Macaca fascicularis: one gene and its partners. The protein of the gene in region 1 interacts with the protein of each later gene in a pairwise test. Links are inferred from orthologs where the notes say so. Each region holds a gene or a part of one and is shown in the gene's direction. Other genes may lie near its edges. The genes, in order: UBE2K, BIRC7, DTX3L, TRIM39, RNF138, MKRN3 and RNF167.

Region 1 (4,105 bases):
TTTTGTTTTTTTTTTTTGGTATTTTTTGTATTTTTAGTAGAGACGGGTTTCACTATATTAGCCAGGCTGGTCTCGAACTCCTGACCTTGTGATTTTGCCGCCTTGGCCTCCCAAAGTGTTGGGATTACAGGCGTGAGCCACTGCACCTGGGCTTTTTTTTTTTTTTTTTTTTTTTTTTTTTTTTGAGACAGAGTCTCGCTCTGTCGTCCAGGCTGGAGTATGGTGGCACAATCTCAGCTCACCATGGTCTCTGCCTCCCGGGTTCAAGTGACCCTCGTGCCTCAGCCTCCTGAGTAGCTGGTATTACAGGTGCACCCTACCACGCCCAGTTAATGTTTTGTATTGTTAGTAGAGACAGGGTTTTACCATGTTGGCCAGGCTGGTCTTGAACCCCTGACCTCAAGTGATCCAACTGCCTCGGCCTCCCAAAGTGCTGGGATTACAGGCATGAGCCACCACTGCCCAGCCAAGACTATATACTCTTATTTCCCAGTGAATACATTATTGACAGTTTTTGAAAATACTGACTGTAGCCCCAAAAAGCTTAACTGGTTGGAGATACAGGGCAGACAAAGGATAGATAAAAATGGTAGGGGCAAAGAGTAAATGCTATGGGATTCTAAGGGTATCTGTATGAGTGAGATTCCTTTTTGTTGTTGTTTTGTTTTTGAGAAGGAGTCTCGGCTCTGTCACCCAGCCTGGAGTGCAGTGGCTTGATCTTGCTCACTGCAACCTTCGCCTCCCAGGTTCAACCAATGCCTCAGCCTCCGGAATGGCTGGAATCCCGGGATTACAGGCATGCGCCACCCTGCCCAGCTAATTTTTTTTTTTTTTTTTTTTTTTTTTTTGAGACAGAGTCTCGCTCTGTTGCTCAGGCTGGAGTGCAGTGGTGCGCAATCTCAGCTCACTGCAGGCTCCGCCTTCCGGGTTCACGCCATTCTCCTGCCTCAGCCTCCCGAGTAGCTGGGACTACAGGCACCCGCCACCAGGCCCGGCTAATTTGTTGTATTTTTTTAGTAGAGATGGGGTTTCACCATGTTGGCCAGGATGGTCTCGGTCTCCTGACCTCGTGATCAGCCTGCTTTGGCCTCCCAAAGTGCTGAGATTACAGGTGTGAGCCACCGCGCCCGGGCACTACACCCTGCTAATTTTTGTAGTTTTAATAGAGGCAGGGTTTCACTATATTGGCCAGGCTGGTCTCAAACTCCTGACCTCAGATGATCTGCCTGCCTCGGCCTCCCAAAGTGCTGGGCTTACATGGTGAGCCACCATGCCTGGCATGCCTGGACTTTTTTTTTTTTTTTTTTTTTTTTTTTTCAGATGGAATCTCGCTCTGTCACCCTGGCTGGAGTCCAGTTGCATGATCCAAGCTCTCTGCAGCCTCCGCCTCCCAGGTTAAGTGGTTCTCCTGCCTCAGCCTCCCAAGTAGCTGGGACTACAGGCGCACCCCACCATGCCCAACTAATTTTTTATATTGTTAGTAGAGACAGGGTTTTATGATGTCGGCCAGGCTGGTCTCAAACTCCTGACCTCAAGTGATCCACCTGCCTCGCTCTTCCAAAGTGATGAGATTACAAGTGTGAGCCACCATGCCCAGCCAAGACTATGTACTCTTATTTCCCAGTGAATACATTATTGATAGTTACTGAACATGTTGACCACAGCCCCAAAAGGCTTACTGGTTGGAGATACAGGACAGACAAAGGATAGATAAAAATGGGAGGGGCAAAGAGTAAATGCTATGGGATTCTGAGGGTATTTGAATGAGGGAGGTTCTTTTTTGTTTTTGTTTTGTTTTGAGTCAGAGTCTCTGTCGCCCAGCCTGGAGTACAGTGGCTTGATCTTGGCTCACTGCAACCTCCACCTCCTGGCTTCAAGTGATTCTCAGGCCTCAGCCTCCGGAATGGCTGGAATCACAGGCATGCGCCACCACACCTGGCTAATTTTTTGTATTTTTAGTAGAGACTGGATTTCACCATGTGGCCAGGCTGGTCTCACACTCCTGACCTCAAGTGATCTGGCTGTCTTGGCCTCCCAAAGTGCTGGGCTTACACGCATGAGCCACCCGACCTGGAGTTTTTTTGTTTTGTTTTGTTTGAGATGGAAACTCACTCTCACCCAGGCTGGAGTGCGGTGGCGTGATTTTGGCTCACTGCAGCTTCTGCTTCCCAGGTCAGGTAGTTCTACTGCTTGACCCAGTAGCTGGGATTATAGGCACGTGCCACCACACCCAGCTAATTTTCCTATTTTTAGTAGAGATGGGGTTTCTAGCCAGGCTGGTCTCGAACTCCTGACCTCAGGTGATCCGCCTGCCTTGGCTTCTGAAAGTGCTGGGATTACAGGCGTGAGCCATCGTGCCCGGGCTGTATGACTGTATGAGGGGGGTTCTTGAGCTAGGTGCTTTTTGTTGTTGTTGTTGTTGTTGAGACGGGGTCTCCCTCATTCGCCCAGGAGCACAGTCATAGCTCACTGCAGCCTTGACCTCCTGGGTTCTAGCAAGCCTTCCACCTCAGCCTCCCAAGTAGCTGGGTCTACAGGTACGTGCTGCCACACCCAGCTAGTTTTTACTTTTTGTAGAGATGGGGTCTCACTATGTTGCCCAGGCTGGTCTTGAACTCCTGGCTTCACACAGTCCTTCTGCCTCAGCTTCCCAACGTTCTGGGATTATAGGCATGAGCCACCTCACCCAGCCTTCTTGAGCTGAGGAAAGTTAAGACTGACCTCAAATTTCAGGAGACAGTCCCAAAGGAATTGTGGTAATATTGCGATTCTTTTTTTTTTCCCCCCCGAGACAGAGTTTTGCTCTTGTTGCCCAGGCTGGAGTGCAATGGCGCAATCTCGGCTCATTGCAACCTCTGTCTCCTGGGTTCAAGCGATTCTCCTGCCTCAGCCTCCTGAGTAGCTGGGATTACAGGCATGCACCACCAAGCTCAGCTAATTTTGTATTTTTAGTAGAGACCGAGTTTCTCCATGGTGGTCGATCAGGCTGTTCTTGAACTCCCGAACTCAGATGATCTGCCAGCGTTGGCCTCCCAAAGTGTTGGGATTGCAGGTGTGAGCCACCACGCCTGGCTGAAATTCTTAAGTAAATAAACTTTTCTCTAGGCACATGAATTGGAACTATGGAACAAAGAGATTATTGATGCACTTATTCAAGAAACACATTTACATATGTAGAACAGAAAGGTTGCACAGCTCTTATATACTCAAACATAGTTGTAGAGTTAGATCATGTTCTTAACTTTCTTCATAGTTACCTTTTGGGGAGGAAAACCACCCTTTTTCATATTAAAGTAAAACGTGTACATAATAAAGTGTGACTGGCATCCAAATCAAGAAACAGACCCTTCCCAGTACCATAGGAATCCTCCTTCCTTTCTAGTTACTTTCCTGACTTCTAATAACAGATTAGTTTTGAGTATGTTTGAGTAAAAGAACAGATGTGAGTATATGTTACGTATTTTAAGTTGGAAAGTTTTCAAAAGATGCTGTTCAAAATCTGTTAAGAAAAATATAGTGTCTTAGAAAATGTACTAAAATGTATTGAATTTCAGTGCTGAAATAGATCTAGGCCAAACTCCTCATCTATAAAATCAGGAAACTGAGGCCCAAGGAGGTTGATTGTTCCTCAGAGAAACAGCTGGTTAATGGTTGAACCCAGGCTTTTTGCATACCAGTTTAGTCATAATAAGTAGTTGGTTTGTGGGAATATCCTTTTCATAAACGATAGTGTAAAAGCTGACTGCTAATACAACTTTACAGAAGGAGATAACAATGCAGTATTATTTAAATGTGTCTTTTCTTTTCCCCCTCTTAGTATGAGAACTTAAACTTGCCAAGGAGGTAGAGATTTTTAACTCCTGAAGCATAATTTAGTGAAGTTAGCTTAGTAATTAAGAGCATGGGCTTTATAATTAGATTTGCTTTGAGTCCTGGCTTTTCTTCTTAAAACCTGAAGTACTGGCTCTGTATCTCGATTATCTTTATCTGTAAAAACTGTGGGAAGATTAAGAGTGTCTTTACAGTGCTTAGAATAACCTTGGGACATAATTAAACAGATAGCTGTTAGATGTCAGAAGTAGCTATGTTTTCATATTCTGTTGTG
Region 2 (3,937 bases), on another chromosome or scaffold:
CTTGAGGATTCCGAGCAAACCTGGGTGCTGCATGTGTCCCTCCCCTGGAAAGAGCAGGCTGGAGATAGTGACCCCTCGTCCCACCTCCCAGGTGCACTGCGGGTGGACTGGGAACCAGGCAGCAAAATCCACCCAGCTTGAGGCCCGCGTCCTCCTGAAAGGGCCCCAAGCCCACACCCGGGGTGTTGCTGAAGTGACCAAAGGTAACCGCTGTGCTGAGGGGGCACGGGAGGACAGAGAGGGGGCGAAGGCGTGGTACCCCAAGATCATCCCAGAAAACACGTTGGGAAGTTCTACTTTGTGTCTAGCCTGACTCCTTCTCCGGCGCCCAGGCCCTTTCCCGACAGACACAGCCCTCCCCTCCTATGTCCCTGAGCTTCCTGGTGCCTCTCCCTCTGCCCCCGGCAGCCCTGGCTTCTGTGCTGCATCCTCAGCAGGGCCTGGAGACACCCCAGAGGCCTTAAGAGCCACACCCTTCACTTTGATTTCTGCAGGAAACGAGGTGGCTCTGGGCCTTGGATAGGAAAGGGTTGGGGGTCTCGCTGGGGCCCAGCAACACTGGCCTGAGTATGACCAGAACAGTCACCAGAGGCCTCCTGGGAGGGCGGGTGCAGCCCCAGCCCCCGCCGTGAGTAGGAGGAGCGGGGGCGGGTGTGAAAGTGTGGTGGGCAGCAGCAGGTCTATGCGGCTCAGCAGTGGAAAGTGAGCGGGCCAGGCTTCCAGGCGAGCTCAGGGACGGTTTTCACTGCAGCTAACCCTCTCCTGCCCGCCTGCACTCCCCGTGGTAACCAAAGGCCCTGCAGTGTGCGACTCCTCTTTATTCTTCCAAACTCTGTGAGCCTGCACGCTCCCATCCAGGACAGAACAGCAGGGGAGAGTGGCTGAAGGACGACAGGGGGCCTTTAGGGCCAGCTGGGTGGATGAGCTGAGTCTGCTAGGGTTGAGGGTTCAGTTGGGGGTCGGGGGGCATCAGTCGGGGGTCGGGGGGCGTCGAAGCCTGGGCCCCATCCAGCTGTCCTCTTTGTCCGGCCCAGGTGTCCCTGGGGTTCCTGTTGTGCCCCCGGCTTCTCTAGGGTTAAGTCCTCCTCCCCGTTCCCTCACTGTGGGGTTTAGCAGCATGGCCCAGCTGTGGAGTTTGGACTGGCAGTCGGGGTCACAGCAGACTCAGGAGCTCCGATTCCGGGACCAACACTGAATGCTCCTCTTCTGGGGACATCAGCGCCTCTCCCTTGGCTACTTGGGGAGGCTGGTATGGAGGGAAGTGGAGGGAGAAGGAGGAGGTGGAGGGAGACGCGGGGAAGTGAGGGGAGGTGGGGGGAAGGAGGGAAAGAGGGAGGAGGGAGAAGGGGGAAGGGGACGAGGAAGGAGAGGAAGAAGGAAGAGGAAGGGGGAGGGGGAGGGGGAGGGTAGGGCAGCTCAGGCCCTTCTGTCTGCTCTGATCTTCATGGCCTGAGGACAAGAGCTGCTCCCAGACCTGCGGAGGCCCCTTGGAGCAGAGGGATGTTTCAGAGAACACCCGGGTGACCTGCCTCCCTGCTCTGCATGACGCAGCACTAGGCCCCTGTGAGTCCAGCGTCACCCCTGCAAGGTGGGGGGTCACGGCCCCTGCCTGGACGGGCTGTGCAGCCCATCTGTCTTTACTTGGGCCTTCTCTGCTTCCAGAGGCTGCCCTGGGCGCCTGACCCTGGAACCTTCATCTCCAGCTCCCCAACCCCTCCCCCACAGCCCTGGGACCGGTGCCAGCCTGGGGAGGGGTCTCCATGCTCAGTTCCTTCCCGTCTTGTTCAAAGAGACACTGCCTGCCCACGTGCCATCAGCAGGATCCACAACCCTGCCAGGGGCCCCATGACACGCCCCCGCTGCACAGAGCATGTGACCCCAGAGGCTACCCTGGCCCGTTCCAGAAAGTGTGGGCCCTGGGATACTCCCCTCCCAGGGTGTCTGGTGGCTGGCCTATGCCTATCCCTGCTGTCCCTGGGGTGAGCCCGGAGGTCAGGAGCTCCAGAAGGGCCAGCTGGGCATATTCTGGGACTGGCCATCAGCCCCCATTTCTGCTGCAGACCTGGTCAGAGCCAGTGTTCCCTCCATGGGGCCTGAAGACAGTGCCAAGTGCCTGCGCCATGGACCACAGCTGTGCCGCTGGGCAGCTGGTGACGGTCCCACGCGGGAGCGCTGTGGACCCCGCTCTCTGGGCAGCCCTGCCCTAGGCCTGGACAGCTGCAGAGCCTGGGACCATGTGGATGGGCAGATCCTGGGCCAGCTGCGGCCCCTGGCAGAGGAGGAAGAGGAGGAGGGCGCCGGGGCCATGTCGCCCAGGGGGCCTGCCTTCCCCGGCATGGGCTCTGAAGAGCTGCGTCTGGCCTCCTTCTATGACTGGCCGCTGACGGCTGGGGTGCCGCCCGAGCTGCTGGCCGCTGCCGGCTTCTTCCACACAGGTCAGTCCCGGGCGGGGGGGCCTTCCTGCTGTGGGCCTGGGCACGATTCTGGACCCTTCCAGCCCAGGGCTCTGCCTCCTCCGTAGCATCCATCCCCCAACAGGAAGGGTCTGGCCGGATGATGGAGCAGGAGTCCTGCAAGCCCTTCAGTGCCCATGTGCTCCTGCCTGACACGCTCTCCCGGAGTCTCTGCTGGCCAAGTGTGTCAGACTGTGGGACATGAGGAGGGGCTGCCTCTGGCCATGGTCTGGGGGTCTCAGCTGTGGAGGCCACCAGCTTGGTGCGCAAGTACCTTTTTGTGATAGAAGTGGGTGGGGCTGACATTGCCTGGGGCCCTCACCGTCCTGCTGCTGGTCTGCACGGGGGGAGGAGATGTTTAAGGAACAGGATCACGGTGACCAAGGCAGGCGTGGTCAGCCGGAAGGTCCTGGCAGCTCAGCCTGTGGGGAATTTCTTCAGGACCCAACCTGCAGCCACTGTCTGGTCTTCCCCAACTAAATCAAGTCCCCGGAGTACCTATCCTCGTCTTGACCTGGGCCCGCTCCTCGGCCCTACAGCTGGGGACCATGTGGTCAGACCTGAGTTCAGGTCCCAGCTCTGCCACTTCCGGGCTGAAGGACAGGGCAGCAGGGCCCACTGAGGGCTTTACGAGTACTGGCACAGCCAAGGTCATTGTCAGCAGTGGGCTCTGGGAGGGCACCATCCTGGTAAGGCTGGACCAACTTAAGACAGCTGGTCGGGGGGGACAGTGGCTGGGACAGTCAGGAGTCGTGGTGTGAAGGGGCAGGCCTGGCTCACCCAACTCCCTGGAGGTCCAAGGCTCAGCAGGTGAAGGTCAGGCAGGAGGCATGGCAGGTGCAGAGCCAGGGTCTTTGGGGCTGGTCGAGGTCCAGTGCCTGATGCAGCCCAAACCTGTGATGTCAGTGGCAGGTGATATATCGCATGCCTGCCGATGAGGGGACGGGGCTGTCAGGAGGTAGAGCGAGGAGGGGTCCCCCACCCCTAAAGGGAGGCATGAGTTCCTAAAACCAAGCCTGGCCCCAGACTGGCCTTCTAGGGCAGCCTCCCTTCTTCCTCTCGCTGGGACTCATCTTAGGGAAGCAGAGACCTGGGGAGGGGCTCTTCTGGCTCCTGAAGCCTCAGGGCTATAGATGTGCCAGGCCCTGGGGGGCCCCCACTGCTTACTCTGGGAACAATGCAAATGCCAGCTCAGTCCTTTCCTGAACATTCTCACCCATCCTGGCCGGCACCCCAGACACCCTTGTCCCCTTTTCACCTTTGATGCTAGTGAGGTGCAAGAGTCCTCCCCCACCCAGCCCCCTGCCCACCCCCTCCTCCCTGTTGCCACCTGGGAGCTCCCCTCCAGTTGAAGCTCTCGCAGCCTTGGAAGGACGTACCGGGGGGGCAGGGGGCTGGATGGGGCCTGGCTGGGGCCAGCATCTCTCCGCACCCCAGGCCAGCAGGACAAGGTGAGGTGCTTCTTCTGCTACGGGGGCCTGCAG
Region 3 (4,239 bases), on another chromosome or scaffold:
AAGAACATCTTTGTACACAGGTCACTTCACACAGGGGCTAATATAGCAATGGGACAAATCCCTAGAAATGGAACTCCAGAATCAAAAAGCATATGCTGTTGTAATTCTGACAGTACTGCCAAATTGCTCACAGTGAAGACTGACCCATTTCCAGTCTTACCAGCCATGTGCAAAAACCTTATCTCTGTCCTCTCTGCCGCCAGTCATCCCTGCTTGTAAATGTGTCTTCCACACCATTGTCAGCACCATATTTCTAAAATGCATATCTGGCAAGTCATTTTCTTGCTTTCCCTGCTTACAACCCTTCAAGTCATATTTACTGCTCTTCAAAGCTTTTCACCATCTAAATATGTGCTGTCCAGGGTGGACTATCAGCCTCACGTAGCTACTGAGGCTACATGTGGCCAGTCTGAATCGAGATGTGATGTAAGTGTAAGAAAAACACTGGGTTGCAAAGATGCAGTATGATAAAAAGAATGTAAAAAGCTCATTATGTGCTGAAATGATTAAGTTTTGGATATGTCAAGTTAAATAACATCATTACAATTAATTTCATCCGTTTCTTTATCCTTTAAAAAATATGGCTGCAAAAATTTTAGAATGAACATACTGGCTCACATTGTATCTCTGTTGGACAGTGCCCATCTAGGTAGGCCCTCCCTCCCTCATCCCCTCACCCATCTCCTCTCCTCCCAGGCCCCAGGCCCACTCTGTGCTTCAGACCATAGTGGTCCCTAAGCCTTAGGTGCTTTTCCCCCCAACCCTGTCCTCCCCATCTCGTCGCCACACTCAGTTTATTAAGATGCTGCTTGAAACTTCTCCTTGGAGGCCTTGAAGAAGTTTTGCTCCCTGGTTCACAGGTCCGCCTCCCCTCACCAGCCCTTGACATCAGGGCCTTGCTCTGCTCTTTGGGCAGCAAGAAACAATTCAGTGCTGTTGGTTAAATCAAGCAATGGAGGAGAAAAGCCCCCAGGAGCCTGTCTAAAGGGTAGAGTTGGAGGGAGGGAAGGGGTAACAGGTCACAATTACCAGATGAACACATTCAAATTTTCAAAAATGGGTAAGTTTAACATGGATTCAGATGTGAATTACTTTTTAGCATCAAATAATAGTGATAACAGCAGTAAGAGTTACAAAGAATAAGAAACACAGGAGAAACTTACTTTCTTTGCATAGTCTACTCATAAGGGAGGCCTGGCCCTGGGATCCTGGTCCGCGCCCGCCCCCACTCTCCGCCCCCCCCGTACCCCGAGCCTGCAGGAAAGGGGACCCCGAGGGCCCAGGGGCACCGGACCTACCCACCCGGCAGACCACTCGCCTCGGTGCAGACAGCACAGGGAAGAGGGGGAAGCAGCTCTGCTGGGAACAGGGAGGGACCTCCGGGGAAGCGAAACTGAAACTTTGCGCCTAGTCGGCGGGGCGGGCCGCGCCTTTACCCCAGTCCCGGCCCAGCGGCGTCCCGGAGCCCCCGCGCCCTCCCGACGCGCAGAGCCATGGCCTCCGACCTGCGCCCGCCGTCCCCGCTCCTCGTGCGGGTGTCCGGGTCCGGCCTCCGGGTACAACGGAAGCTGGAGAGCTACTTCCAGAGCTCTAAGTCCTCGGGCGGCGGAGAGTGCACGGTCAGGCCCCAGGAACACGAAGCCCCGGGCACCTTCCGGGTGGAGTTCAGTGAAAGGGCAGGTGAGCTTCGGGCGGTCGGGCTGCGAAAGCCGAAAGCCGTCTCTGGGGCCCCGACTCCCGGGTTTCCAGGCGGACCCAGTTCCAGCTGACCTAGGGGAGAGGGCGGAAGAAAGTATGCCACTGTGCGGTGGCGGACAGGGACGGGGCCCTGCTGCCAAGAGACTCACTGAGACAGGGAACACTCGGTGGAGGATAGGGCCTCACATGTGCCCGGTGCGGATCCGGCTAACCCCGCCTTAGTGTGGATGTTTTCCATATCCTCATTCTAACTTAATTTCTCAGCTGTCATCTTCCATCCTCCAGATGCCTGTCAGCTGCCGTCCTTGTCATTCAGGGATTCCACTTTTATGTTTTAAATAATGGTTCCATTGTTCCATCCATTAACAAAAGGATGTTCCATTTTGTATTTTTGAGGATTACAAAAGTGATATATGCTCACTATAGAAATAAGAGAAAAGAGTAAAAAAGAAAACAACCTGGAGATAAACAATGTGTCCATTTGGTGTATTTTCTTCCTGCCCTTTTTTACGAATGCCAGCAAACACACGTGTATTTACACAATTCGGAGTCTGCACTTTTGATACTTGCTGCTGTAACTTACCTGTATAATGAGTATTGAAATGGGAGACCAGGATGGGTGTGGTGGCTCACGCCTATAATCCTAGCACTTTGGAGGCCGAGGTTGGTGGATCACTTGAGGCCAGGAGTTCAAGACCAGGCTGGCCAACATGGCGAAATTCCGTCTCTACTAAGAATACAAAAATACCTGAGCGTGGTGGTGCGCACCTGTAATCCAAGCTACTCCGGAGGCTGAGGCAGGAGAATCGCTTGAACTCGGGAGGCAGAGAGTTGCAGTGGGACGAGGTCGCACCATTGCACTCCAGCCTGGGTGACAGAGTGAGACTCCGTCTCAAAAAACAAAACAAAACAAAAAAACAAAAAGGGAGGGAGGGAAATAAAGAAGGAAGGAAGAAAGGGGAGACTGGAGACAGTTTCAGAAACATGACGTTTAATGAGTGGACAATGTTCCATTGTCGTTAAGCTTTCACTTCTGTAGTAAAACTTAATCCGCACACTTCAGAACTCTTAATAGCTCCCCAATTTCCTCCATCGCCAACCCACCATTCCGGGGTGCAGTGAGCAGCCTTACTGGGAGGTGCTGGGGCAGGGTACAGACACAGGAATGACAGGATTACTTGAAATCTCTCCCATTTTTATGTATGTATATGTGTGTGTTTAATGTTTCTGCTGAAGCTAAGGAGAGAGTGTTGAAAAAAGGAGAACACCAAATGCTTGTTGACAACGAACCTGTGCCCATTTTCCTGGTACCCACTGAAAATTCAATAAAGAAGAACATGAGACCTCAAATTTCTTCACTGACACAGTCACAAGCAGAAACACCGTCTAGTGATACGCATCAACATGAAGGACATATTCCTAATGCTGTGGATTCCTGTCTCGAAAAGGTGAGTATTGAAAGAAGGAGCTGGCTGTACCTGCGCCTCCTCTCCAGTCACCAGCCTCATGTATTATTGATCCAACACCCATGTGCTGGGCACATACATGGGAGCCAGGCACTGTTTTAGGCACTGGACACAGAGACGAACACAACAGACAAGGTCCCTGCTCTCAGGCGGCTCATATTGGGGCCCAGGGCATGCACAGAAAGACAGTAGGCAAGTGAAATAATTAGAACCATTTTATTTATTTGGAGAGAAACAGGGCTAGGGCGAGCAAAGGGAAGATGGGGGTGGTGTTATTTCTTTTTTCCCCCAACAAGACAGAGTCTCACTTTATCACCTAGGCTGGAGTACAGTGGCATAATCATGGCTCACTGCAGCGTTGACCTCCTGGGCTCGAGCGATCCTCTCACCTCAGCCTCCTGAGTAGCTAGGACTACAGGCGCCACTACACCCAGCCAATTTTTTTTTTTTTTTTTGGTAGAAACGGAGTCTCACTATGTTGCCCAGGCTGTTCTCAAACTCCTGGGCTCAAGCGATCTGCCCGCCTTGGCCTCCCAAAGTGCTGGGATTACAGTCATGAATTACTGCGCCTAGCCTGGTTCTACTTCTAACCAGAAATCAGAGACAACTTGACTGAGGAGGTGACGTTTGGCCTGCAACTTGAATGATGACAAGATTCATTCAACAATAGATATCCACTGCTTAATGTGTTCCAGGCACTGTTATAGGAGCTGGGGAGGCAGCCAGGAACATGGCAGACTCTGCTTCTGGGGATGGCACCTTCTAGTGAGAGAAACAGACAATATTAATAAACAAATAGATATATAATAAAATGTCTGCCAGTCATACCTGCTAGAAAGAAGAATAAGAAGAATACGTGACAGACAATGACAGAACCACCATTTAAAATAGGATGTCTGGAAAAACCTCAAGTGAGATGACATCTCTAGCCAAGTGGATTTCTGGGGGGAAAATGTCCTAGAGGGAAGCATAGGTACAAAGGCCCCAAGAGCTGACATTCTGAGGCCCAGAAGCTTGAAGGAAGCCAGTGTGGTGGGAGGGCAGTGAGCAAGGGAGAGAGGTGCTAGGAACTCGG
Region 4 (3,500 bases), on another chromosome or scaffold:
TAAGAAATGTTAATATTTTTATGACATTTTTTACTTCTCAGATTCCTTTCTTATCTATTAGAAACGTATGTCAAACGAGGATACAGTGGTCTGGAACTATTGGTTCTAAGATACAAGTGGAATGAACCTGGATCAGGAGAAGTATGCTGAGCTAGAGTTGAAGGAAGCTGCTCTTTCTAACAAGAGAAAGCAGAGGTAAGAGACAAGATAGATAAATTGGGGGTTGTGTGTCAGTTTACTAACAAGAAAAAAAGGTTAATGGCTGGGAGTCACAAGTTTTGGAAATGGAGAAACAAAGAGATTGAATTGATTGAAAGAGAAGATGGAGAATAACAAGATTGGGCAAATCTGGAGTTAGGACTTAACAGGGATAAATGTTGGGCCAGGGATGCAAAAAAAAAAAAAAAAAAAAAAAACACCTCCAATTAATATTTTTATTTTTTCTGTCCTCTTCCCCACTCCCAAGTTAAATTATGGCAGAGACAAGTCTGTTAGAGGCTGGGGCCTCTGCAGCCTCTACAGCTGCGGCTTTGGAGAACTTACAGGTGGAGGCAAGCTGCTCTGTGTGCCTGGAGTATCTGAAGGAACCTGTCATCATTGAGTGTGGGCACAACTTCTGCAAAGCTTGCATCACCCGCTGGTGGGAAGACCTAGAGAGGGACTTCCCTTGTCCTGTCTGTCGAAAGACATCCCGCTACCGCAGTCTCCGACCTAATCGGCAACTAGGCAGTATGGTGGAAATTGCCAAGCAGCTCCAGGCCGTCAAGCGGAAGATCCGGGATGAGAGCCTCTGCCCCCAACACCATGAGGCCCTCAGCCTTTTCTGTTATGAGGACCAGGAGGCTGTATGCTTAATCTGTGCAATTTCCCACACCCACCGGGCCCACACCGTTGTGCCACTGGATGACGCTACACAGGAGTACAAGGTGGGGAAGCAGACACATGATGTCAGTGTGGGTAAAAAAGGAGCAGTGGCAGAGGATGAAATACTCCCTAGGTAGAGATCTTAAGCTTCTACTACTCACTTTGTATTCTCAGAGCTGCATATGCAGGGGTACACAGTATGTGTGATCAGTTGTCCTCTAGCCTGAAAAAGAACAATGGTGAGAAGTGTCCAAAAATTTCTATCTGACTTTTGCAATACATATGAGTCTTTTGGGTGAATATTATGAGTCTTATGGGTGAATATTGGTATGTGTGGTCTTGGAAGGTATCATATTTTTCATAAATGAATGAAACCACATGGAAAAGATTAAACTTAGGAGGAACTGAAAAGTCTCATTTCTTCATTCTGCCTGCCTGCTCAGAATGCTCCTTGTTTTCACATTGGTTATTGGGCATAGGTAATATCACTTGAGACTGATACCTGCCAGACTAAGCTGAACCATTCTGTTGTTTGTAGCTTCTCCAGGTAATGGTTAACATGGCACATCATTTAACTTACTGCTGAGACACAGGAAAATGTTTGAATAAAGGGAACAGAGATTAATGTGTTAGCATTTTATCATATACTTTGCTTAATTATGTTACTCTTGAAAACAAGATTTCAGGTAACTTACAGTATAATAACCATGTTTTACAGTATAATGACCATGTTTTTATTTTAGGTGGATAGAGGTGGATGGGAGGACAGGTTTAAAGAAAAATATCAGGTTACAGAAGGTTGCTTTGATGGTAGTAGGCAGTTGTCTCAGTAAGAAAGTGGAAAGAGTTGAGAAAGGACACAGAGTTGGTGACAGCTATCTCAAATTCAGTAAGAGGACAGTTGGGTGAGCAGAGAAGGTGATGTGGACAGACTGTAGGAAATTGACATCCCAAATGACAGGCAAGGAAGGAAATCAGATCAAGAGGCAGTAAGATGGCTAGGAAGCAAATAAATGGTTTAAAACAAATGGTTTAATCTCTGAATGAGAAATGTACCAGTCAACCCCAAATGTCACCTCTCCCACTTCTTCCCTACCCCTCAGGAAAAACTGCAGAAGTGTCTGGAGCCCCTGGAACAGAAGCTGCAGGAGATCACTCGCTGCAAGTCCTCTGAGGAGAAGAAGCCTGGTGAGCTCAAGGTAAAGGCAGGCAATCCCATGTAGGCTGCTCTGAAGGGTATTTGTCTGTGAGGGTATTAACTATACACTATTTAATCCACCAGTTCCAATTCATTAGTAAAATGCAGTTCTTGGCCGGGCATGCTGGCTCACACCTGTAATCCCAGCAATTCTGGAGGCCAAGGTGGGCAGATTGCTTGAGCTCAGGAGTTTGAAACCACCCTGGGCAACATGATGAAACCCTGTCTTTACTAAAAACAAAAAATTAGCCGGGCCTGGTGGCACGTACCTGTGTACAGGTCCCAGCTACTTGGGCGGCTGAGGCAGGAAAATTGCTTGAACCTGGGAGGTGGAGGTTGCAGTGAGCCGAGATCGTACCATTGCACTCCAGCCTGGGCAACAGAGCAAGATTCTGTCTCAAAAAAGAAAGAAAGAAAGAACAATGTAGTTCTCTCAAAAATTATGGTATTTTATTAGGCTTGATTGTCATTAAACATTGTACTTAAATTACTTGTCATGAATTAAGTATTAAGAGGGATTTAAGAGATGAAGAACAGACAGAATATCTTACATCTGGTGAGCTGAGAGAGTTCGTGCCTCTTGGTCTCCTTTTTTTGTTAAAGCAGCAAAGGAGGCTTTCTGCTGAGAAGGCAGGGATGGGAGTTTCTTAGAGGACTTGAAGAGAGGAGAATGTGGAAGATTCACTGGGGAGAAAGGGAAAAGGAGCTGACCAAGAGTCTCAGAAGAACTATCCAATGACATTAGGACCACATTCTTAAAACTCAAGTAAGCTTAAGTATGCTAAATGATGTTGGTCCTAGAATGTTCTTCCCCTCCCCATCCTCCACCATAGGATCCTATTCATCTCTCAGATGGGATGAAAGCCACTTCCTATGCAGCCTTTCCTGACCCTTCAGAAATTAACGTTCTTAATTTTCATACAATTTTGCACCTCTTTTATAGCATTGCCTTATTTTTAGCATGGTATTTTGGTGTCTTGTCTTTCTTCTGTTGAACAGTGAACAATTATCATTTGTAGCAAAAATAACTAGAATTGAGTCCTATGCATTAATTCATTAGATATCCATGACATAGGGTTGTTAGGGTCTTGAAGTTCAGGCCAAATTGGGATAAGTGAGACATAGAAAAGCTACGAGAAAGAGACAGAAGGAAATCCTGAGGCCATCTTTAGTAAGATGTAGGAGTAAACTTAGATATTCTTTAAGGTAGGTATTATTACCTTCAGCTTACACAGAAGGAAATGGACCTTGAGTAAGTGACTAGTCCAAGATCATGAAGCCAGTAAGTGGCAAAACCAGGAATGCTAGTTCTTCGTGAATCAGTAAATACTTGTTAAGCTCCTGGTTTAGGCCAAACCCTGTATTTGACACTGGGGAACAATGATGAGCCAAAACACAGTTCCTGCCCTCCTTGAGCTTAAAGTTAAGTGGAGAAAAT
Region 5 (3,500 bases), on another chromosome or scaffold:
CAAGTGAAAACTGGCATCTTGTTTACTTTGCGTTATTTTGGTTTCTGGCTATGGTAAATATATTTAATTGTTATTGTGTTTTGAGGGACAGTATTGCTCTGTCACCCAGGCTGGAATGCAGTGGCACTTTCATAGCTCACTACAGCTTCAACCTCCTGTGCTCAAGTGATCCTTCGCCTCAGCCTCCTGAGTAGCTGGGACTGGACGTGCATGCTATCATAGCCAGCTAATTTTTTTTATTTTTAATTTTTATAGAGATAGTGTCTTGCTATGTTGCCCAGGCTAGTCTTCAACTCCTTGCCTCAAGCCATCCTCCAGCCTTGACCTCCCAAAGCACTGGGATTATAGGCATGAGCCACTGCACCCTGCCTAATGTTTTGGTTTGTAGTATTAATTGGTAATGACTTCTAGTGCTGTTTTAATGATGTTAGCTACCATTTGTTGAGCACTTTCCTGACTATCACAAATACTGTGTTAAGCATTTTATATGTGTTATCTATTTTAATCCTCTGAACAGCCCAGTCAATTGTAGATACTTTTAATATTTCATGACTGAGGAAACGGATTTTATAGGGGAAAACTGACTTGTTTAAAAGTGCTACATTGGCCAGGCGCGGTGGCTCAAGCCTGTAATCCCAGCACTTTGGGAGGCCAAGACGGGCGGATCACGAGGTAAGGAGACTGAGACCATCCTGGCTAACCCGGTGAAACCTCGTCTCTACTAAAAAATACAAAAAAACTAGCCTGGCAAGGTGGCGGGCACCTGTAGTCCCAGCTACTCGGGAGGCTGAGGTAGGAGAATGGCGTAAACCCGGGAGGCGGAGCTTGCAGTGAGCTGAGATCCGGCCACTGCACTCCAGCCTGGGCGACAGAGCGAGACTCCGTCTCAAAAAAAAAAAAAAAAAAGGTGCTACATGGTTAGGAAACTCAGGTTATGTGATCTGTTACTGCACCATTTCCCCTCAACTTTTGTTATGAGGATATTCATATATATTTATAGAAGATTGGATTAAATGTATATATATTCTAGATCCCAGATATATATGTCTGTAATTTAACTGGTTCTCTTGAAAGCAAAATGATCAAATAAGGTATTTGGTAGGGCTAGAGAAGATAAAAAGATTTTAGTTTGATTCTAATTAGAAAGTTGGTTATAAATGTTTAAAGCCGGAAGTATTCTTAAATATTTCTCAAATTACATTCCATTGCACAGTTTGGGAAATTTTCCTATTTCCTGACCAGATAACTTTGAGTAACACCTATTAACACGCAGATAACTTTGGGTAACACCTAACTTTGGGTAAAACCTATTAACTTTATTCTAGAACTTCCCAAATCATTTGTGTGCTCTTTTGTAGTAGACCTGTTTATGTCTTGTGGAACAACATGTCACAAATACATCAGTTTGAGACAAAAGCTTATGTCATTCATCCTTTTATTTTGTAAGGGGGGGAAATGGAGATCCAGTGTGGGTTAATTTGTTGGCCTAAGATTACACAGCTACTAAATGGCAGAGCCAGGATCCAGTTCTTCCTTTGTACCATGTTTCCTCTAGTAATATTATTAATATGTAGCATTAATATTTATTCATCATATACTGTGTTAGGAAGTTGTAAAGAAGACTTGAGTGTAATTTTTAAAACCTTACCATCTAGTCCAGTTATCAGTCTTACTCTCTGATAACTACATATACAGTTCTTAAACTTCTGAGATTTATGTGCATATGAGTAGCTTAACTTATTTAATTTGAATACATATTTATAATCACTTGTTTGTATTTATAGAGATGAAAAGAGTAATTTTTTTCTGTAATTAATGTGTCATAATGTTTGGTTTAGCTTCTGTAGAAAATGTTTCCTGACTGCAATGAGGGAAAGCGGAGCACATTGTCCCCTGTGTCGTGGAAATGTGACTAGAAGAGAGAGAGCATGTCCTGAACGGGCCTTAGACCTTGAAAATATAATGCGGAAGTTTTCTGGTAGCTGCAGATGCTGTGCAAAACAGGTAGAGTAAATGTGACATATCTCTTCTTTGGAAGCCAAGTTTCTACTCTGAAATTCTTGTTTGAATTTTCTTGGTTGCTGCTTTTTTTGTTTGTTTTTTTTTAAAAGATGAAAGATATTTAGACTGGGAATTGGATAGAAAAGGCCAAAAAAAGCTGTGGTCATAGATCTTACTAGATTATAAACTTACTGAGAAATGACACTGAAAAAAAAAATCACTGAATTTCATGATATTTAGCATGGCATTTTTCTAAAAGTAGTTTCTCATTGATTACTTACTTAAAGTAACTAAATTAGCAAACTGGCATTTAGCTCATTTAAACCTCATTCTGGTACAAATTCAACCCTTAAGTTTTTCTCATGGTAGCATCATTATTGCAGCTTTGCACATAGACATGTTACTAGTTTGGGCACATGGATTTATGTAGTTAAGGAACTCTCTAGCTGCTCACTTTACTTATATATTTATGTATTTAAGAAATCACAAGCTGCGGGCATGGTGGCTTACGCCTATAATCCCAGCACTTTGGGAGGCCAAGGTGGGTAGATGACCTGAGGTCAGGAGTTCGAGACCACCCTGACCAACATGGTGAAACCCTATCTCTACTAAAAATACAAATATCAGCTGGTGTGGTGGTGCATGCCTATAATCCCAGCTACTTGGGAGGCTGAGGCAGAATTGTTTGAACCCAGGAGGTGGAGGTTGTGGTGAGCTGAGATTGTGCCATTGCACTCCACACTGGGCAACAAGAACAAAACTGTTAGAAAAAAAAAAGAAATCACAACATATTTGGTTAATTTTAAGGAACATGTAGGAAAATCAGGTGTTAACAAATAACCAGCATTAATTCTCTAATCTGGATTTTATTGTTCTAGCATTTGGAGAAGGAATAAAATAGTGAGGGGTGGTTAGGCTTTGAGTATATCCATGTGTCTATAGATTTATCACCGACATTTTTTCTAATAGCTAATGAATTCAGAGCAAAACTGGTTGCTATTTCATGCATTCACACAAGTCAGATCTGCTTTTCCATCTTTTTGAAGGAAGTGTTTGACAGGGCAATGAATTGAAGCTAGAAAACACACTTGAGGGATTCTGGCTATTCCTCTCAGTGAGAAACTGAAAAATGTTCCAAGTATTCCTGGGAACTTAATTTTTTTTTCTTTTTTTGGAGACAAGGTCTCACTTTGTCACCCAGGCTGGAGTACAGTGGCACAGTCTTGGCTCACTGCAGCTTTGACTTCCCAGGCTTTAAGCAATCCTCCTGCCTCAGCCCCTCAGGTAGCTGAGATTACACGTGGCTAATTTTTGTATTTTTTTTATAAACGGGGTTTTACAATGTTGCTCAGGCTGGTCTCGAACCCCTGAACTCAAGCAGTCCACCGCCCCAGCCTCCCAAAGGGCTGGGATTACAAGTGTGAGCCACCGCACCCAGCTAGGAACTTAATTTTTTAAAACTGCTTTCTAACTCTGCCAGGCTGCAGAAGTTAAATAAT
Region 6 (4,156 bases), on another chromosome or scaffold:
ATAAGTTTCACCAGAAATTATCTGGCTTCAATAAGCTGTTTAAAGGATTTTACTTAATTTATTTCCCTTATTTAATATTTGTTTTTCTTCATTGCTTTTCTTGGCCTTATTATTTGCTTCATTCTGCTTTCTTTGCTTTTACCTACCTAATTATAATTTAATTTGTTGACTTGGGTGATTATAAATATTCAGATATGTTTCCACTTTACAGATTTAGGCAACAAAATTTCCTCAAAGAAACTTACAGAAAAAAAAAAATCCAATAATATATAAAACGATATATCATGACACAGAAGGGCTTCTTATTAGAAACAAATTGGTCAGTTAAATATTTGAAACTCATAGCTGCAAATAATCACATTAAGAGAATAAAGGGAAAAACAAGATTATCTCAAAAAATATATAAAACTACATGACAGAATTCAGTATGCAGTCATGATACGTACTCTCAGCAAAGTAGGAATACAAAAAAATGATTAATCCACTACACGTATCTGCAAAAATGACAAAACGCTTATATATGGAAATTAAAGACCATTCCTTTGTGGATAGTATGCCACAACACAGCACAGATGGGGTTGAAAGAAAGCAAGAGAAACAAAGGGCTGCCATGAATTAAACCAGTAGAGAAAATAAAAGCCTGGGTCATGCAGGGGACAGTGCCTTATTCAGCCAGCATCAGGAATGATTGAAGTCTGGGGCTTCTACACAGTGGGAAAACGAGCATAGTAATCACAATAAAGAAAGACATCTGAAAGGTGCTAACTTAGCCTCGGATCAGAAGCGCTGTCTGCTAATGCCTTGCTGGTGAAAAGCGTATCCTGCGTAAGCCCTCAGAAATCCCAGAAAACAAAGACCAAAAGAAACGACGCTTTGTCAACAGAGCAAATCGAAAAAATCTTCCAGCAGTGACAGGGCATTAAAAAAAAAAAAACGCAGACATAAGATGGAGTGAATCAAAAAAGGATTTATCTAATTCATGTATGAAATGTTTCAGAATCTATTGGATTCTAATTTTTTTAAAGCAGACAGATACGAAAATACAACGAAGACGTGCATGACTGAAACCAAAAGAGATTAAAGTAAAACCTCATTCTCCTGAGGAAACGGTGTGAGGAGGGAATTAGGGGCTGCCGGAACACAGCGAAGCAGAGGCAGAAGGCAGACAAAAGGGGCTGGGTTGGTCCCTGCCTGTGTGAACAAAAAATATGTCAGATTGGAAAATTGCGGTAAAATCCAAGCGCGGCGCGTACGTTGCCCCCACAGGAAGTGTCCGCCGCGCTGCCTGTGCCCGGAAGTAGGTAGGAACACACAGTCACAGGCAGCCAAGAACCGGGGGGGAAGAAAAAGAGATGCACACTTCCCCTAGAGAAGCCTCCGAGCGCGGCCGCGACTCCGGGCCTCAAGCCCATAAAGAAAAAATACCGGAGACGTTCTGGCACCATTTCGGGGTAAAGAAGCTGCCATGGAAGAGCCTGCAGCTCCCTCAGAAGCCCAGGAGGCAGCCGGGGCCCAGGCAGGTGCTGAGGCAGCAGGGGAGGGTGTGTCTGGGCCGGACCTTCCCGTCTGTGAGCCCTCCAGGGAATCTGCTGCTCCAGATTCGGCCCTGCCACATGCGCCTGTGGGCTGGGCCCCCTTCCCTGTAGCTCCAGTCCCTGCCCACCTCCGCACAGGAGGCCTGAGGCCTGCACCAGCCTCAGGAGGAGGAGCATGGCGCAATCCGTTTCCAAGCCGAAGCAGCGGCATTTGGACAAAGCAGATCATCTGCAGGTATTATATACATGGGCAGTGCAAGGAGGGGGAGAACTGTCGCTATTCCCACGACCTTTCTGGTCGGAAGATGGCCACTGAGGGCAGCGTTTCGCCGCCTGGGGCCTCTGCAGGTGGAGGCCCTAGCACGGCTGCGCACATCGAGCCCCCGACTCAGGAAGTGGCGGAAGCCCCCCCGGCTGCATCCTCCCTTTCCTTGCCTGTGATTGGCTCGGCTGCTGAAAGGGGTTTCTTTGAAGCCGAGAGAGACAATGCAGACCGTGGAGCTGCTGGAGGAGCAGGTGTAGAAAGCTGGGCGGATGCCATTGAGTTTGTTCCAGGGCAGCCCTACCGGGGCCGCTGGGTTGCATCTGCCCCCGAGGCTCCTCCACAGAGCTCAGAGACTGAGAGGAATCAGATGGCTGTGGGCAGGGGGTTGCGGTTTTGCTATTATGCTTCCAGGGGAGTTTGCTTTCGTGGGGAGAGCTGTATGTTCCTCCATGGAGACATATGCGACATGTGTGGGCTGCAGGCCTTGCACCCCATGGATGCTGCCCAGAGGGAAGACCATATAAGGGCCTGCATTGAAGCACACGAGAAAGATATGGAACTCTCGTTTGCTGTGCAGCGTGGTATGGACAAGGTGTGTGGCATCTGCATGGAGGTTGTCTATGAGAAAGCCAACCCCAATGACCGCCGCTTTGGCATTCTTTCCAATTGCAACCATACCTTCTGTATTAGGTGTATCCGCAGGTGGAGAAGTGCCAGACAGTTTGATAACAGGATCATCAAGTCTTGCCCGCAGTGCAGGGTCACCTCCGACTTGGTCGTTCCCAGTGAGTTCTGGGTGGAGGAGGAGGAAGAGAAGCAGAAACTTATTCAGCAATACAAGGAGGCAATGAGCAACAAGGCCTGCAGGTATTTTGCGGAAGGCAGGGGTAACTGCCCATTTGGAGACACATGCTTTTACAAGCATGAATACCCTGAGGGCTGGGGAGATGAGCCTCCTGGGCCAGGTGGTGGGTCATTCGGCGCATACTGGCATCAACTTGTGGAGCCTGTGCGAATGGGAGAGGGCGACATGCTCTATAAAAGCCGTAAGAAGGAGCTTGTCGTGCTTCGACTGGCCAGTCTGTTGTTTAAGCGGTTTCTTTTACTGAGAGATGAGTTACCCTTCTCTGAGGACCAGTGGGACTTGCTTCATTATGAGCTGGAAGAATATTTCAATTTGAATCTGTAGCATTGTGCTGTGGCATGTGGTCTAGTCTGCTGAGGTTCTGTCGTCTGCTATTGCCTGTTTTCCCTGTGTTGACACTCTTATTGCTTTCAGGGGCTGTTGAGGCAGTGCTTCTGTTTTCTTGTCTATTCTGCATATCTTTCCTCCTAGGATTATGGTGATTATCTGTGTTTAAAAAAATAAGTCCTTAAAGTTACTGTTTTGGTGAAATTAATATTAATGTCAGCTTATGGCTTTTTTTGTCATCTCTGTTTTCAACAGGATTAACTCAGTTCTAGTGTAGTGTTTACTGAATTTCCACACTTATTTTGAAGACCCTCAAGAGTAAATGTGGCAGAGTGAAAGGAGAAGTTTTAATTGAACTAGTAGCTTTGTGCTATAATAGCCTTAACAAATGGACCCTCGCAGGGTCTTGCAGCTGCTCATCTGTTTACAGTTTGTTCTTTCCCTCCTTCCCCTTCAAGTGCACTTGTTAAACTGTGATGAACTTGTGATTTTGTGTTTTACTTGACCAAAACCAAGTGTATATGTTTACATGTTTTTATCCTGTTTAGCTTGACATGAAATAATTTATATTTGGAAATATATATTTAAGAATGATATATATATAATATATATGTATAAGAGCTATGTATTTGAAAATATATATAAAAGAATATACATCACAATATTTATGTTTATGTAATAAAGTAAATACAGAGCCGAAAGCTGAAGGTCAAAGCCTAACAGGATTGGCTGTTGTGTGGATGTGAGTTGTGTGAATAATCATTCTGTCCCTTGCACAGAAGCCAGTAATTAGCATCTAATGAAAAGGACTGTTCAAGTGGGTCTGGCCAAATGTAACAGATGCAGATCTTAGAGGACTTACAAAGCACTATATTGGTAATTCTTACAATGGCATTAATAGCTCACTCTATAAAAACAGAAATTGTGTTCCTACGCAGTTTTGCCACCTTCTCAATAATTCTTTGTAACAGCAAATCCTAGGCTCAGAGGCACAGTGCTTTGTATTTGATATACAAAGTCTCTAGACTTTCCCAACAAGGGGCTTTAGACAAAAGATTTCAACATAAAAGTAACAAGATTATAAAAGGGAAAATAGAACAAAAATACTAAAACCAGTGAGAATAAAATAATGGAAAGATAATAAAATATAGAAAGCACTAAAAA
Region 7 (2,050 bases), on another chromosome or scaffold:
GCCGAGGTGGGTAGGTCGCTTGAGCCCAGGAGTTTGAGACCAGCCTGGGCAACATGATGAAACAAAAAAATCCCACCACTTTGGGAGGCTGAGGCAAGTGAATCCCTGGACCCCAGGAGTTCCAGGCCAGCCTGGGCAACGTGGTGAGACCCCATCTCTATAAAATATAACAAAAATTAGCTGAGCATGGTGGTGTGCGCTTGTAGTCCCAGCTACTTGGGAGACTGAGAAAGGAGAATCACTTGAACCAGGAAGGCGGAGGTTGTAGGGGGCTGAGATTGCACCACTGTGCTCCAGCCTGGGCAACAGAGGGAGTCCCTTTCTCAAAAAAATAAAAGTAATAAAGATGGCAGTAAGAAATTTTCAGCTTGAGATGCTGTCTTGTCTTGTTTTTACCCATAAATACAGTGAAGATGGGAGAGATGTAAAGCAAAGATGATTAAGTGAAATAATTGTGGGAAATAATAGAGGGACAGACTTTGCTTATGGGGGATGTGGAGAGCAGAAAAATGGGAGGAATGGGGGAGGATTCAGTTAGAGAAGGAAGAAAGTGGTACTGTGGGGCTGGGGCTTTAGGCCCTGGGGCCTCCAGTGCCCGTATAAGGCTATGGCAGAAGCTCTGCCCATTTCCGTCCCTTCCACTCCGTATCTCCACCCTCACACCTCCCCAAAAACCACTTCCCTTCTTACCTCTGCTTCTCTTTGCTTGTCCCTTTTAGCCCTAAATTCTTCCATGTTCTGCCCTGACCTTATCCTGCCTACCTGTCTTAGCTCTTCCACTGGCTTTGTAGGTGAGGGAAAATTTTCGCAAGGCTTTAAAAGCCTTAGCCCTGGGTCACGATGGCTCAGTGAAGGACTAGATTATTTTCTTTCTGTCCCAGGAGACCAGTATGATGTCTGTGCCATCTGCCTGGATGAATATGAAGATGGAGACAAGCTGCGGGTACTCCCCTGTGCTCATGGTGAGGCCCTCACTGCCTGCCCATGCCCCTCTGCCACTGGCAGCCACCAGGTGCTTCACCTTGTTCCTCTCTGCAGCCTACCACAGCCGCTGCGTGGACCCCTGGCTGACTCAGACCCGGAAGACCTGCCCCATTTGCAAGCAGCCTGTTCATCGTGGTCCTGGGGACGAAGAGCAAGAGGAAGAAGCTCAGGGGCAAGAGGAGGGTGAAGAAGGGGAGCCAAGGGACCACCCTGCTTCCGAAAGGACCCCACTTTTGGGTTCTAGCCCCACTCTTCCCACCTCATTTGGTTCCCTAGCCCCAGCTCCCCTTGTTTTTCCTGGGCCTTCAACAGATCCCCCACCCTCTCCTCCCTCTTCCCCCGTCATCCTGGTCTAATAACCCTCTACATGTACACTTCTGGTGACCTATTTGCACAGACCGTCTTCTTCCCTCCAGTCTTCTAAGTTGAGGGATAGGGGACATTCCATCCTAAGTTGCTCCCTTACCCACACCTATCCTTTTGAGGGGCATTGGGGTGGGGCTGGGGCAAGCAAAGGGACTGGGTCTTCACTTCTTGGGCTAATAAAATTGTTTTTTGTGGACTAAGGAAGGGTGAGATAATTTTTAGGTGAACTTAACCCTTTGGGGGAATCACCCCTTTAGCCATAAGGAGCAAGAGAATGCTGAGACACTAACCTATAGTCATGGGGACAGCCCCAGCAGGCATTTGCTATGACTCAGGGGGAGCCCCACCCACAAGGATGACTCAACTAGCCCTGCCTTGCCTGCAGGCCTGCACCCATTCTCTGGTCCAGATGGCTCTATTCCATTATCCACCAATTTAACCAGCACACTGAGGACTTAGGCCTGGAAATGCCACTGTGGAGGGGCAGGGCCACCTGGCCAGAAGCTCAAATTCTTGCACCTTGTAGTACCTCAACCTTCCTGCTCCCAAGCCATGATAAAGGAGGCAAGTCACAGTGCCTGTCCCCCATTCTGACACCCAAGCTCAAATCACACAGCACCTTGTTAGAATCTTTTTTATTCAGAAAAAAAAAAAAAAAACCCAAAAAACAAAAAAGTTTTCCAACCACACACAGGAGGGG

Evidence for each region.
Region 2: the proteins of UBE2K (region 1) and BIRC7 interact in binary tests that used the Homo sapiens proteins (3 or more experiments, as listed by UniProt). The link is inferred for Macaca fascicularis from reciprocal best matches to the Homo sapiens genes UBE2K and BIRC7.
Region 3: the proteins of UBE2K (region 1) and DTX3L interact in binary tests that used the Homo sapiens proteins (3 or more experiments, as listed by UniProt). The link is inferred for Macaca fascicularis from reciprocal best matches to the Homo sapiens genes UBE2K and DTX3L.
Region 4: the proteins of UBE2K (region 1) and TRIM39 interact in binary tests that used the Homo sapiens proteins (3 or more experiments, as listed by UniProt). The link is inferred for Macaca fascicularis from reciprocal best matches to the Homo sapiens genes UBE2K and TRIM39.
Region 5: the proteins of UBE2K (region 1) and RNF138 interact in binary tests that used the Homo sapiens proteins (3 or more experiments, as listed by UniProt). The link is inferred for Macaca fascicularis from reciprocal best matches to the Homo sapiens genes UBE2K and RNF138.
Region 6: the proteins of UBE2K (region 1) and MKRN3 interact in binary tests that used the Homo sapiens proteins (3 or more experiments, as listed by UniProt). The link is inferred for Macaca fascicularis from reciprocal best matches to the Homo sapiens genes UBE2K and MKRN3.
Region 7: the proteins of UBE2K (region 1) and RNF167 interact in binary tests that used the Homo sapiens proteins (3 or more experiments, as listed by UniProt). The link is inferred for Macaca fascicularis from reciprocal best matches to the Homo sapiens genes UBE2K and RNF167.

Annotation. Positions count from the first base shown.
Region 1 is NC_088379.1:38,999,319-39,003,423, forward strand, and holds the start of UBE2K (ubiquitin-conjugating enzyme E2 K), read left to right. Parts: upstream 1-1,305; 5' UTR 1,306-1,320; coding exon 1,321-1,394; intron 1,395-4,105. UniProt on the Homo sapiens protein: Accepts ubiquitin from the E1 complex and catalyzes its covalent attachment to other proteins. In vitro, in the presence or in the absence of BRCA1-BARD1 E3 ubiquitin-protein ligase complex, catalyzes the synthesis of 'Lys-48'-linked polyubiquitin chains.
Region 2 is NC_088384.1:119,341,141-119,345,077, forward strand, and holds the start of BIRC7 (baculoviral IAP repeat-containing protein 7), read left to right. Parts: upstream 1-1,137; 5' UTR 1,138-1,563; intron 1,564-1,897; exon of another isoform or gene 1,898-2,060; 5' UTR 2,061-2,086; coding exon 2,087-2,435; intron 2,436-2,521; coding exon of another isoform or gene 2,522-2,715; exon of another isoform or gene 2,716-2,806; intron 2,807-3,890; coding exon 3,891-3,937.
Region 3 is NC_088376.1:160,683,290-160,687,528, reverse strand, and holds the start of DTX3L (E3 ubiquitin-protein ligase DTX3L), read left to right. Parts: upstream 1-1,439; 5' UTR 1,440-1,493; coding exon 1,494-1,680; exon of another isoform or gene 1,681-1,860; intron 1,861-2,934; coding exon 2,935-3,146; intron 3,147-4,239.
Region 4 is NC_088378.1:142,316,204-142,319,703, reverse strand, and holds part of TRIM39 (E3 ubiquitin-protein ligase TRIM39), read left to right. Parts: intron 1-41; exon of another isoform or gene 42-61; 5' UTR 62-195; intron 196-466; 5' UTR 467-473; coding exon 474-926; intron 927-1,967; coding exon 1,968-2,063; intron 2,064-3,500.
Region 5 is NC_088392.1:57,762,737-57,766,236, reverse strand, and holds part of RNF138 (E3 ubiquitin-protein ligase RNF138), read left to right. Parts: intron 1-1,838; coding exon 1,839-2,004; intron 2,005-3,500. UniProt on the Homo sapiens protein: E3 ubiquitin-protein ligase involved in DNA damage response by promoting DNA resection and homologous recombination.
Region 6 is NC_088381.1:5,418,420-5,422,575, reverse strand, and holds the start of MKRN3 (E3 ubiquitin-protein ligase makorin-3), read left to right. Parts: upstream 1-1,356; 5' UTR 1,357-1,465; coding exon 1,466-2,667; coding exon of another isoform or gene 2,668-2,989; exon of another isoform or gene 2,990-3,247; coding exon of another isoform or gene 3,248-3,269; exon of another isoform or gene 3,270-4,156. UniProt on the Homo sapiens protein: E3 ubiquitin ligase catalyzing the covalent attachment of ubiquitin moieties onto substrate proteins.
Region 7 is NC_088390.1:5,062,335-5,064,384, forward strand, and holds the end of RNF167 (E3 ubiquitin-protein ligase RNF167), read left to right. Parts: intron 1-719; coding exon 720-791; intron 792-881; coding exon 882-962; intron 963-1,038; coding exon 1,039-1,340; 3' UTR 1,341-1,550; downstream 1,551-2,050.